Arabidopsis thaliana: one gene and its partner. The protein of the gene in region 1 binds, or shares a complex with, the protein of each later gene. Each region holds a gene or a part of one and is shown on either strand. Other genes may lie near its edges. A codon is read from its position in the direction of its gene.

The links. Proteins that work in one complex are often made in the same cells at the same time.
Region 2: the proteins of AT3G57710 (region 1) and ZAR1 are in contact, whole or in part, in a cryo-EM structure (PDB 6J5W), measured with the Arabidopsis thaliana proteins. Residues at the interface, in NP_191330.1 of Arabidopsis thaliana: Phe23 (codon at 1,872), Leu24 (codon at 1,875), Gly27 (codon at 1,884), Ser28 (codon at 1,887), Leu31 (codon at 1,896), Arg32 (codon at 1,899), Glu33 (codon at 1,902), Val35 (codon at 1,908), Ala36 (codon at 1,911), Asn39 (codon at 1,920), Gly40 (codon at 1,923), Lys41 (codon at 1,926), Ser42 (codon at 1,929), Ile43 (codon at 1,932), Pro44 (codon at 1,935), Ile45 (codon at 1,938), Arg46 (codon at 1,941), Ser47 (codon at 1,944), Asp81 (codon at 2,046), Arg82 (codon at 2,049), Tyr84 (codon at 2,055), Arg98 (codon at 2,097), Lys102 (codon at 2,109), Ser115 (codon at 2,148), Asn116 (codon at 2,151), His117 (codon at 2,154), Ser118 (codon at 2,157), Gln122 (codon at 2,169), Leu123 (codon at 2,172), Leu124 (codon at 2,175); in NP_190664.1 of Arabidopsis thaliana: Arg214 (codon at 2,876), Arg235 (codon at 2,939), Asn236 (codon at 2,942), Leu237 (codon at 2,945), Gly238 (codon at 2,948), Asp239 (codon at 2,951), Ala240 (codon at 2,954), Val242 (codon at 2,960), Arg251 (codon at 2,987), Gln255 (codon at 2,999), Tyr256 (codon at 3,002), Leu258 (codon at 3,008), Ile483 (codon at 3,683), Thr541 (codon at 3,857), Gly542 (codon at 3,860), Glu543 (codon at 3,863), Val544 (codon at 3,866), Lys546 (codon at 3,872), Lys568 (codon at 3,938), Ser569 (codon at 3,941), Ile570 (codon at 3,944), Asp572 (codon at 3,950), Asn595 (codon at 4,019), Thr596 (codon at 4,022), His597 (codon at 4,025), Pro598 (codon at 4,028), Ile600 (codon at 4,034), Tyr619 (codon at 4,091), Gln621 (codon at 4,097), Asn622 (codon at 4,100).

What each region holds. Positions count from the first base shown.
Region 1 is NC_003074.8:21,384,130-21,389,093, reverse strand, and holds AT3G57710 (Protein kinase superfamily protein), read left to right. Parts: upstream 1-1,694; 5' UTR 1,695-1,805; coding exon 1,806-2,861; 3' UTR 2,862-3,154; coding exon of another isoform or gene 3,155-4,177; 3' UTR 4,178-4,418; downstream 4,419-4,964. Other genes in the region: AT3G57720 (Protein kinase superfamily protein), read right to left, coding at 249-1,328; AT3G57700 (Protein kinase superfamily protein), read right to left, coding at 3,155-4,177; AGP23 (arabinogalactan protein 23), read right to left, coding at 4,640-4,825.
Region 2 is NC_003074.8:18,933,891-18,939,335, forward strand, and holds ZAR1 (HOPZ-ACTIVATED RESISTANCE 1), read left to right. Parts: upstream 1-1,783; 5' UTR 1,784-1,997; exon of another isoform or gene 1,998-2,225; 5' UTR 2,226-2,236; coding exon 2,237-4,795; 3' UTR 4,796-4,909; downstream 4,910-5,445. Other genes in the region: AT3G50940 (P-loop containing nucleoside triphosphate hydrolases superfamily protein), read left to right, coding at 196-1,182, 1,270-1,638; PLP3a (thioredoxin domain PLP3A-like protein), read right to left, coding at 5,001-5,110, 5,196-5,293, 5,380-5,441.

The DNA of each region.
Region 1 (4,964 bases):
ATTTGCAAACTCCACGGCAGTAAAGTTTCCTCCCCATTAACCTTAATAGCTCCTCGATGGTTCATAACTCCAAGTTCTGCATCTTGAAACACAAGAATCATAAAAGGAAACTCGAGACAACATCCTAATAGCTTGAGAAAGTTGCTGCGATTGCTCATGCGGTCACACAAGACAATGTCATTGTAAATCTCTTTCACTCCATAGTCTGGAACTTGGCTTTATAGTACAATACCAGAGAGGATCTGTAGCTATGATCTCCGAAATAATGTCTCAATCTGCTTGAGTTCTTTAGCTATTTGGATCATCTTTGGTCTGTTTTCATCTCTCAGCTCGCAGCATCTCAGCGCCAACACCACACACGCTTCCACATGCACTTTTTGAGCACTTGTAATGTCTTCCATCACCTTAGGATCTATTACTCCATCAAGCTGCCCATTCTCATGAAAGCCTTTCACGTAGCTAGCAATATGTTTGTAGTCCCCATCAGAGCTAGTGGATGCAAGTGCTGGTTTACCAGTGAGAATAACCATCAAGAAGACTCCAAAGCTGTACACGTCGGTATATTCCGTCACCATTTTCGTGGTATAATATACTGGATCAAGGTACCCGATTGTTCCCTGAACACATTCAACTTCTATTCTTGATTTTCCCTCAGGGAGGTTTATAGAGATAGAGAAATCAGACAACTTTGGGGTCCAATTCTCGTCCAAGAAAACATTCCTTGGCTTAATGTGTCTATGTATGAGGATCTTGGGGAATGCCATGTGAAGATAAGTCACAGCATTTGCAATCTCCTTTCCAATCTTCAACCTTAAACTCAAAGGCAATATAACTTCCTCCCCATTGACTATAACACCTCCTCTGTGATTCAAAACTCCATGTTCTGCATATTCAAACACAAGAACCGGAAGACTAAACTCAAGACAGAATCCTATAAGTTTAAGAAAGTTGTTGTGGTTGCTCATCCGAGCAGACAAGACAATTTCGTTGTAAACCTCTGCTACTCTGTATTGAGTAACTTTATACTCAGAGAATCTCTTGATCATGTAAGATCTATCTTCTATGATACCTTTGTACCATACATAAAACCCCTCTGCGGTTACAAAACAACTGGAACCGAAGTTACTTGTAGCTTTCAAGATCTGGTCAGAAGAAAAGTTACGTATAGGAATGGATTTACCGTTACAATCAGCAATAAGTTCTTTCAAGAAGATGCTTCCGTTGTCTAAGAACCACTTTTCTTCCTGAATGTCTTTTTCCTTTTCCTTCCTTTTCTCTAACGATCCAGATCTCAGACTCTGCTTCAACTTCTTCACCATCGATTTCATCAAACAAATACTGTTGTTTCAGTTTTCCTCTTTGAACAAGAAAGACTTAATATCTGAATGCATACAAGATGTTGAGTTACTACTCTTCCCGATTTGAAATTTGGAAACAAATTCCAACCATTGACGTGTTTTGATAGGGACTCCTCACATCCCATACAAACTGTTATCCATCAGCCTGTCGTAGAAAACTTTTTGGTTAGGCTTATTTTGTGTTCCCACCTTATTATCTTTTGGATGGGCTTATATTGTTTTCCCACCTTATGAGCTTTTAGTTGGGCTTTATTTTTCTATAGGCCCAGAAACTTGACCCAAGACTTTTTATTGCTTCTTCCTTTCTTATGACACACCGTTTTCAACCGAGAGTCGTTTGGGATCAGAAAAGAAATGGCTTTTGACACTTCAGAAGCTTTTAGGTAAGAAAGGTGTCCTCTTTATTCATCTCGCCAACAAAAGGTTGATACTTTGGTAAAGGAACTAATGAAGAAGCAGTATCTGAAATCTGGATCTGGGACAAGGAAGGAAAAGGACAAGGCGAAGAGGTGGTTCTTGGATAACGGAAGCATCTTCTTAAGAGAACTTGTAGCTGATTGTAACGGTAAATCCATTCCTATTCGCAGTTTTTCTCCTGAGCAGATATTGAAAGCCACCAACAATTTCGATTCTAGCTGTTTTGTCTCGCAAGATGTATACTATAAATGGTATAGAGGTGAAATTGAAGATAGATCTTACATGATCAAGAGATTCTCAGAGGATGAGATTACAGGAAAACGACATAGAGTTAAAGAGGTTTACAACGACATTGTCTTGTCTGCTCGGATGAGTAATCACAGTAACTTTCTTCAACTTTTAGGATGTTGTCTCGAGTTTCCTTTTCCGGTTCTTGTGTTTGAATTTGCAGAACATGGAGCTATGAATCAGCGAGGAGGTGTTATAGTTAATGGTGAAGAATCTTTATTGCCGTGGAGTGTACGGTTGAAGATTGGGAAAGAGATTGCTAATGCGGTGACTTATCTTCACACGGCATTCCCTAAGATCATCATACATAGAGATGTTAAACCGATGCATGTTTTCTTGGACAAGAATTGGACCGCAAAGTTGTCTGATTTATCCTTCTCAATATCTCTACCTGAGGGAAAATCGAGAATAGAAGCTGAATGGGTTCTAGGAACATTTGGGTACATCGATCCATTATATCATAAGACGTGTTTTGTGACTGAATATACAGATGTCTACAGCTTTGGAATCTGTTTGCTGGTTATTATTACTGGTAAACCGGCTATCATGACTATTTCTGATGGAGATCTCCAAGGTATTCTTAGCTTAGTGAGAGAGTTATGTGAGAATGGGAAGCTTGATGAAGTGATAGATCCGAGGTTGATGAAAGATATCACAAGTGGTCAAAGGTTGCAAGTGGAAGCATGTGTGGTGCTGGCTTTGAGATGCTGTAAGGAGAGAGATGAAGACAGACCAAAGATGATCCAAGTAGCTAAAGAACTCAAGCAGATTGAAGCATCATTGAAAAATTCTAGCTAGAGATCCGCAAGGAACTTTTTGGATATTGAGATATCTTCGCGGAGTAGGCATCACAAGAACATGACTGAAGATAGGAGCATCTTTGGTGCCCAAAAGAAGAGGTATCAGTTGCTTGGACTATATAAATCTAAGTAAACAATTCTTGCATTGTGTAGCAAGGAAACTCAGATTCTTACATACAACATATTTAATAAAAGCTCGATCAAAAACAAGATACAGTGATTGCAATTTTCACTACTAAGCCTGTATAATAGATAGACCTGTTTCAAGTCGCATTAGAAAAGGTTGCATGGTCATATATGTTTCTCTATCTTCTTAAGCTCTTTTGCAACGTCTATCATGCGAGGCACGTTCTCTCCTGGTCTGAATCTTACACATCTAAAAGCAAGCTCAATGAACGCTTCCATTTGCAGTCTTGAATGCTTGGGAATGTCATCACTCGTGCTGTCCAATATCGACGGGTCTATGAGTTCAGTCAACAAACCTCGCTCCAGAAACTTCCCAACATAGACAGGCAATACAGGAAGATAAACAGCGACTTCTGAATTGTATTCAGACTTTCCTGTCAAAATAATTAGCATGATGATCCCAAGACTATAGATGTCGACATTCTCGGTGACCAAACCTGTATTAAAGTAATCAGGCTCGATATAGCTTGATGTCCTGCAAACCATGTCATTTACGCCAGTTTCACCCTCTGGAAGCACTATACTGAGGCTGAAAGAAGAGAGCTTAGCGGACCAATTCTCGTCAAGGAAAATATTTGCAAGCTTTAAATCCCTATGGATTATAGTCCTGGGGAATTCAGTATGAAGATACGCTACAGCATCTGCAATCTCCTTGGCGATTCTCAACCTTACATTCCAAGGGAATGACCGGACGCCTTCTTTTCCACATCTTATACAGTTTAGAGCTCCATGTTCTGGATATTCACACACGAGAACCGGACGAGGAAACTCTAGACAACACCCCAAGAGCTTGAGAACATTCTTATGGCTACTCATCAAAGATGAAACAGCAATGTCACGGTAAAAGTTGTCAGCGTCGAAAACAGAACAGTCTTGGAATTTCTTGATCAGTACGGGTCTGTTTTCAATCATGCCTTTGTACCACACGAATCTGTCTTCAGAGATTACGTAGTTCCAGTCAAAGTGATTTGTAGCTTGTAGGATTTGGTCGGAAGAAAACGTACGGATGGGATTGTATATACCTCCTGAAGTTGCAATGAGTTCTTCCAACAGTAAGCTCCCATTCTTCTGGAGATTGATCTCCTCTTCTTTCTTCTGCTTCTTCTTCTTTCTGAACAGACGCAACATCTCTAAACTCAGAAAAGAATATTGTCTTGTGAGTTGTGAAGAAAGGGACACAAGAAAGAAAGAGAGTCGGAGACGCAAGAACAAATCAAGTCAACGAGGTCACTTCAAAAGTCAACAACTTCTCCTTTTTTTTGGTCTAAGTCAACAACTTATGAAACATAATGTGAATCATAAGATTTTTCACTTGATGACATTTTGTAATGACTAATTTACAAATATGTTGAATATTTTTTTATAATCATTATTATAAGCTATAATATTTGTCCAATAACCAGTTTTGAAAATCAAGGGACCATCCACATTTCAAAAACCAGTAGTCAAAAATTAAAATGAACATAATCAAGAAGAGAAAATTTATTCTTGAATTACTTTCTCTGTTTTATTAATAAACAAGTGAAATGGAAATAAATAGGAAATGAATAAGATCACATAATGAGTTGTTATTACATAATGAAAGATAGCTTAGTGCAAGTAGTAGCTGAAGAGGGAGACAAGGGAAGCTCCAACCAAAGAGCCAAGAGCTGGCAACGCAGCCGAGGCGGCGGATGCAGGTCCTGGTGCCGGAGCTCCGACTTCCTCAGCAGCCATGACGGCGGTCATGGAGGCAGCAGCGAAAAGCACACCGCAAGCAATCTTCTTCATCTCCATTGTTTGAGACCTGAAAGGCTTTTCTTTTCTTCTTTTTATTTAGTTTTTGTGCTTTTTAAAGTTCTTGCAGGTCTGAGGAATATGGATGGTGTTGATCGGGAATTTATATGTGTGGAACTAGTGTTATTTTTAGTAATAT
Region 2 (5,445 bases), 2.5 Mb from region 1:
TTGTGTGCTCATCGTAAAATTATCAAAAGAATAGCATCGTTTGTTTAACCTAATCAGATTTATCCCCACGTAACCTAGTAACAAATACAGTACTATTGTTCTATAATCAGATTTTTTTTTGGATTAGTTTCTTGTCTCTTTGATTTATGAGAACCGACTTGAATGTATTTATTTTATTTTTGATGATTGAAGGAGATGAGTTCCTCTAGTGAATCTCATCTAGCCACCGCCAAAACAGCTCTCACAGCGGTTGCATCAGTTGCTGCAGCCGCAATACTAGCTCGATCAGTGGTTCAAGATTACATGCCAAACGAGGTTCATGAATATATCTCTCACGGCTTTCGCAGATTCTTCAGCTACTTCTCTTATCAGATGACAGCTGTAATAGAAGAATTTGGAGGTTTTGAACACAACCAAGTGTTTGAAGCTGCAGAGGCTTATCTCTCCACCAAGATATCTAATTCCACTAGAAGAATCAAAGTTAACAAACTTGAGAAACAGAGCAATTATAGTGTTACTGTTGAACGTGATGAGGAAGTTGTTGATATTTTTGATGGCGTCAAGCTTAGTTGGATCCTTGTATGTCGCCATGTCGATAAAAAGGATTTTCGTAACCCGAGAGATCTCAACTCCACTTTGAAATCAGAAGTGCGTAGTTACGAGCTTAGTTTCCGAAAGAAGTTCAAGAACATGGTTCTTGAATCTTATTTACCGTTTGTTGTGGAACAAGCTGCTTCTATTAAACAAAAGTTTAAAACATTGAAGATCTTCACCGTTGATTCTTACTCCGTGGAGTGGACCTCTGTGACTCTAGATCATCCTTCCACGTTTCGCACTCTCGCTCTGGATCCCGAGGTGAAGAAAAACTTGGTGGAGGATCTTGATCGATTCGTGCAGCGGAAAGGCTTTTACGGGAGAGTTGGAAAAGCTTGGAAGAGAGGTTATTTGTTGTATGGTCCTCCCGGTACTGGAAAATCAAGCTTGATCGCAGCTATAGCTAATCATCTTAACTTCGATATCTATGACTTAGACTTGACATCACTTAACAACAATGCTGAGCTACGGAGGTTACTTATGTCTACTGCAAATCGTTCCATTCTAGTTGTGGAAGATATAGATTGTTCAATCGAGTTAAAAGATCGGTCTACTGATCAAGAAAACAACGATCCGTTACATAAAACGGTGATGCATTTTGATTCACTATCAGTTATGTTGTTATGTGATCTTTTGCTTATTAGCATTACTAATGTTTTGGTTAGTCATTTTCAGGTCACACTCTCTGGTCTATTGAATTTTGTAGACGGACTATGGTCAAGTTGTGGTAACGAGCGGATTATAGTGTTTACGACTAACTACAGAGAAAAATTGGATCCAGCATTGTTGAGGCCAGGACGTATGGACATGCACATTCACATGTCGTATTGCACACCAGCTGCTTTTAAGGTTTTGGCTTCGAATTATCTCGAGATTCAAGATCATATACTTTTCGAGCAGATTGAAGAATTTATCCGAGAAATTGAAGTTACACCAGCAGAAGTAGCTGAACAACTGATGAGGAGTGACTCTGTGGATAAAGTACTCCAAGGACTTGTTGAGTTCTTAAAAGCCAAGAAGCAAATAGATAATTCAAAAGCTTAGAAGAAATTTAGTTCTTTTATTTGTTTCTTTGTTAAACACTATCATGCAATTATTGGTTATAAAATGTTACAGAAAGTGAAATCATTTTTTTTTTTCCTAAGTGAAATGCGGATATTGTTTTATGAGGTCAGAACATGTCTAAACTCAATGATAAGATTCTAAAGTAGATTGAGACAAGTTTCGTAGTCGGCAGCAGTAACCAAGAAAACGAGTAAGGTTGACTCTTGACTTGTTAAACCATTGACTTCAATTTCGATAAAGTCTCTATGTAAGCTCATTTTTCTGAAACAAGTTTTGCTAAAAAAATCCAAAGATCTGAAGCTTCAGATCCTTCTCGGCTAAGGCTAAGTCACAACCTTGTAAGTTTACTTTACTTTGGTTAGATTTGTTTCAATGTTCTAGGATTCTACATGTTTCTTGAGAAGATATGGATTAGTTAAAGAATAATCCAATCTTTTGGTTATTGAGATTCTATAGTCGTTGGTTGATTGATTTTTGGAAAGTTCAATCTAGTGATGATACACATAACCGATTGAATTATTGCTTGGTTATAGTTTACCAATTAGAGATATTTCTTGAAGTTGCAGGGTCTGAGTAAATGGTGGACGCTGTTGTAACAGTGTTTTTAGAGAAAACCTTGAACATCCTCGAAGAAAAAGGCCGAACCGTATCGGACTACCGAAAACAGTTGGAAGATTTGCAAAGCGAATTGAAATATATGCAGTCTTTTCTCAAGGATGCAGAGAGGCAGAAGAGAACTAATGAAACGTTGCGTACTCTTGTTGCGGATTTACGAGAACTGGTTTACGAAGCTGAGGATATACTTGTGGATTGTCAGCTCGCGGATGGTGATGATGGGAACGAGCAAAGGTCATCAAATGCGTGGCTTTCGCGGCTTCATCCTGCCCGGGTTCCGTTGCAGTACAAGAAAAGCAAACGTTTGCAAGAGATCAATGAGAGGATAACGAAAATAAAGAGTCAAGTAGAGCCTTATTTCGAATTCATAACGCCGAGTAATGTTGGAAGAGATAATGGAACTGATCGGTGGAGCTCTCCGGTGTATGATCATACTCAGGTGGTTGGTTTGGAAGGAGATAAAAGAAAAATCAAGGAGTGGCTCTTTCGATCAAACGACAGCCAGCTTTTGATAATGGCCTTTGTTGGGATGGGAGGGCTAGGTAAAACTACAATCGCTCAAGAAGTGTTCAATGACAAAGAGATCGAACATCGTTTCGAAAGAAGGATATGGGTGTCTGTGTCCCAGACTTTTACTGAAGAACAGATCATGAGAAGCATATTGAGGAACTTGGGGGACGCGAGTGTTGGAGATGATATTGGAACATTGCTGAGAAAAATCCAGCAGTATCTTTTGGGGAAAAGGTACTTGATAGTTATGGACGATGTATGGGACAAGAATTTGAGCTGGTGGGACAAGATCTACCAAGGACTGCCTAGAGGACAAGGAGGTAGCGTTATCGTGACCACAAGGTCGGAATCTGTAGCGAAAAGGGTGCAAGCGAGAGACGACAAGACTCACCGTCCAGAGCTCCTTAGTCCTGATAACAGTTGGCTGCTGTTTTGTAATGTGGCATTTGCAGCAAATGACGGTACTTGTGAGCGTCCCGAGCTAGAGGATGTTGGCAAGGAGATTGTAACGAAATGCAAAGGTTTGCCTTTGACAATCAAAGCGGTTGGTGGGTTACTTCTGTGCAAAGACCATGTCTATCATGAATGGAGACGAATTGCAGAGCATTTTCAGGATGAGCTAAGAGGAAACACTTCTGAAACTGACAATGTTATGTCTTCTCTGCAGTTGAGCTACGATGAACTCCCTTCCCACCTTAAGTCGTGCATTCTCACGCTTTCGCTCTATCCAGAAGACTGTGTTATACCAAAACAACAACTAGTACATGGATGGATCGGAGAAGGTTTTGTCATGTGGAGAAACGGAAGATCTGCAACTGAATCTGGAGAAGACTGCTTTTCCGGGCTCACAAACAGGTGTCTAATAGAAGTTGTAGACAAAACCTATAGCGGAACCATCATCACTTGCAAGATTCATGACATGGTTCGTGATTTGGTGATCGATATAGCCAAGAAGGATTCGTTCTCTAACCCGGAAGGCCTCAACTGTCGTCACCTTGGGATTAGTGGAAACTTTGATGAGAAGCAGATCAAAGTTAACCATAAGCTGAGAGGCGTAGTGTCAACAACTAAGACAGGTGAAGTGAACAAGCTCAACTCAGACTTAGCTAAGAAATTCACAGACTGCAAATATCTTCGGGTTCTCGATATCTCGAAATCCATATTTGATGCTCCTCTGTCTGAGATTTTGGATGAGATTGCAAGCCTTCAACACTTAGCATGTCTTAGTTTGAGCAACACACATCCGTTGATCCAGTTTCCTCGTTCCATGGAAGATCTCCACAACCTTCAGATTCTAGACGCAAGCTACTGTCAGAATCTGAAACAACTTCAACCTTGCATCGTCTTGTTCAAGAAACTCCTTGTACTTGACATGACGAACTGTGGATCCCTTGAATGCTTCCCCAAGGGTATCGGAAGTCTCGTGAAGCTCGAAGTTCTGTTGGGATTTAAGCCAGCCAGGTCCAACAATGGGTGCAAGCTCAGTGAAGTGAAAAATCTCACAAACCTTCGGAAACTTGGTCTTTCTCTGACTCGTGGCGATCAGATAGAAGAGGAGGAGCTTGATTCTTTGATAAACCTAAGCAAGCTGATGTCCATTTCGATCAACTGCTATGATAGCTACGGCGATGATCTCATAACCAAAATAGACGCCCTTACTCCTCCACACCAGCTCCATGAGCTTTCTCTACAATTCTATCCTGGAAAGTCGAGTCCATCGTGGTTGAGTCCTCACAAGCTTCCGATGTTGAGGTACATGTCAATATGTTCAGGTAATTTGGTGAAAATGCAGGAACCATTCTGGGGAAACGAGAATACTCACTGGAGAATTGAAGGTTTAATGTTAAGTTCATTGTCGGACCTAGACATGGACTGGGAAGTGCTGCAACAGTCAATGCCGTACCTGAGGACCGTGACCGCAAACTGGTGTCCAGAGCTAGAGTCTTTCGCGATTGAAGATGTTGGCTTTAGAGGCGGAGTGTGGATGAAAACACCATTGCACAGAACCTGATGAAACGTTTTAAGCAACTAGATCAATGTTTATTAAACAGTGACAATAAGTTGGTGTATTACATATACCTTGATACAATGTAATGTTGCTTTGACCGTTTGGATTTCATATCGCAATTTTCTTTTCTAATAATCATATAACAAACGAGCAAAAAGGGAAAACAGAGACTAGCAGCAATGGCAGATCTTTGATGTCAACTGCTTGATCAGTCAGAATCAGAGTCCAGATTCTCTGAAGACCTAACAGACCTCCGTATGCTCTCTTGATATTCGGCGTCTTCATCATCTTCCTCTTTCTTCTTCTTGCTGAGCATTCCTGTTAAAGATTTGCACTCTTTAAGCAAAAATTCTCTAACTGGGCCGTTATAATAAAAAAAAGGTGGGACCGAGGTTCTTCATACCCTTTTTAAGAAGAACGTTCTCTAGTTTATTCGTTGTGAAATCGTCCTTGGTTCCCAGATCCTGGAACCCAACTAGCCTATCCATCGCAACTCCCTTGCTAAGAATGGTAAAGAAACTCGTACTTTATGAGTATACACCTAACAACAAACCCTGTATGTAAGAAGGAATAGAAAGAGGCGAAACCTGAAAAGCACAACGCAAGGCAAAGTCTTTATTGCAAGCTTCGTGACAAAGAAAGGAGCATTCTGC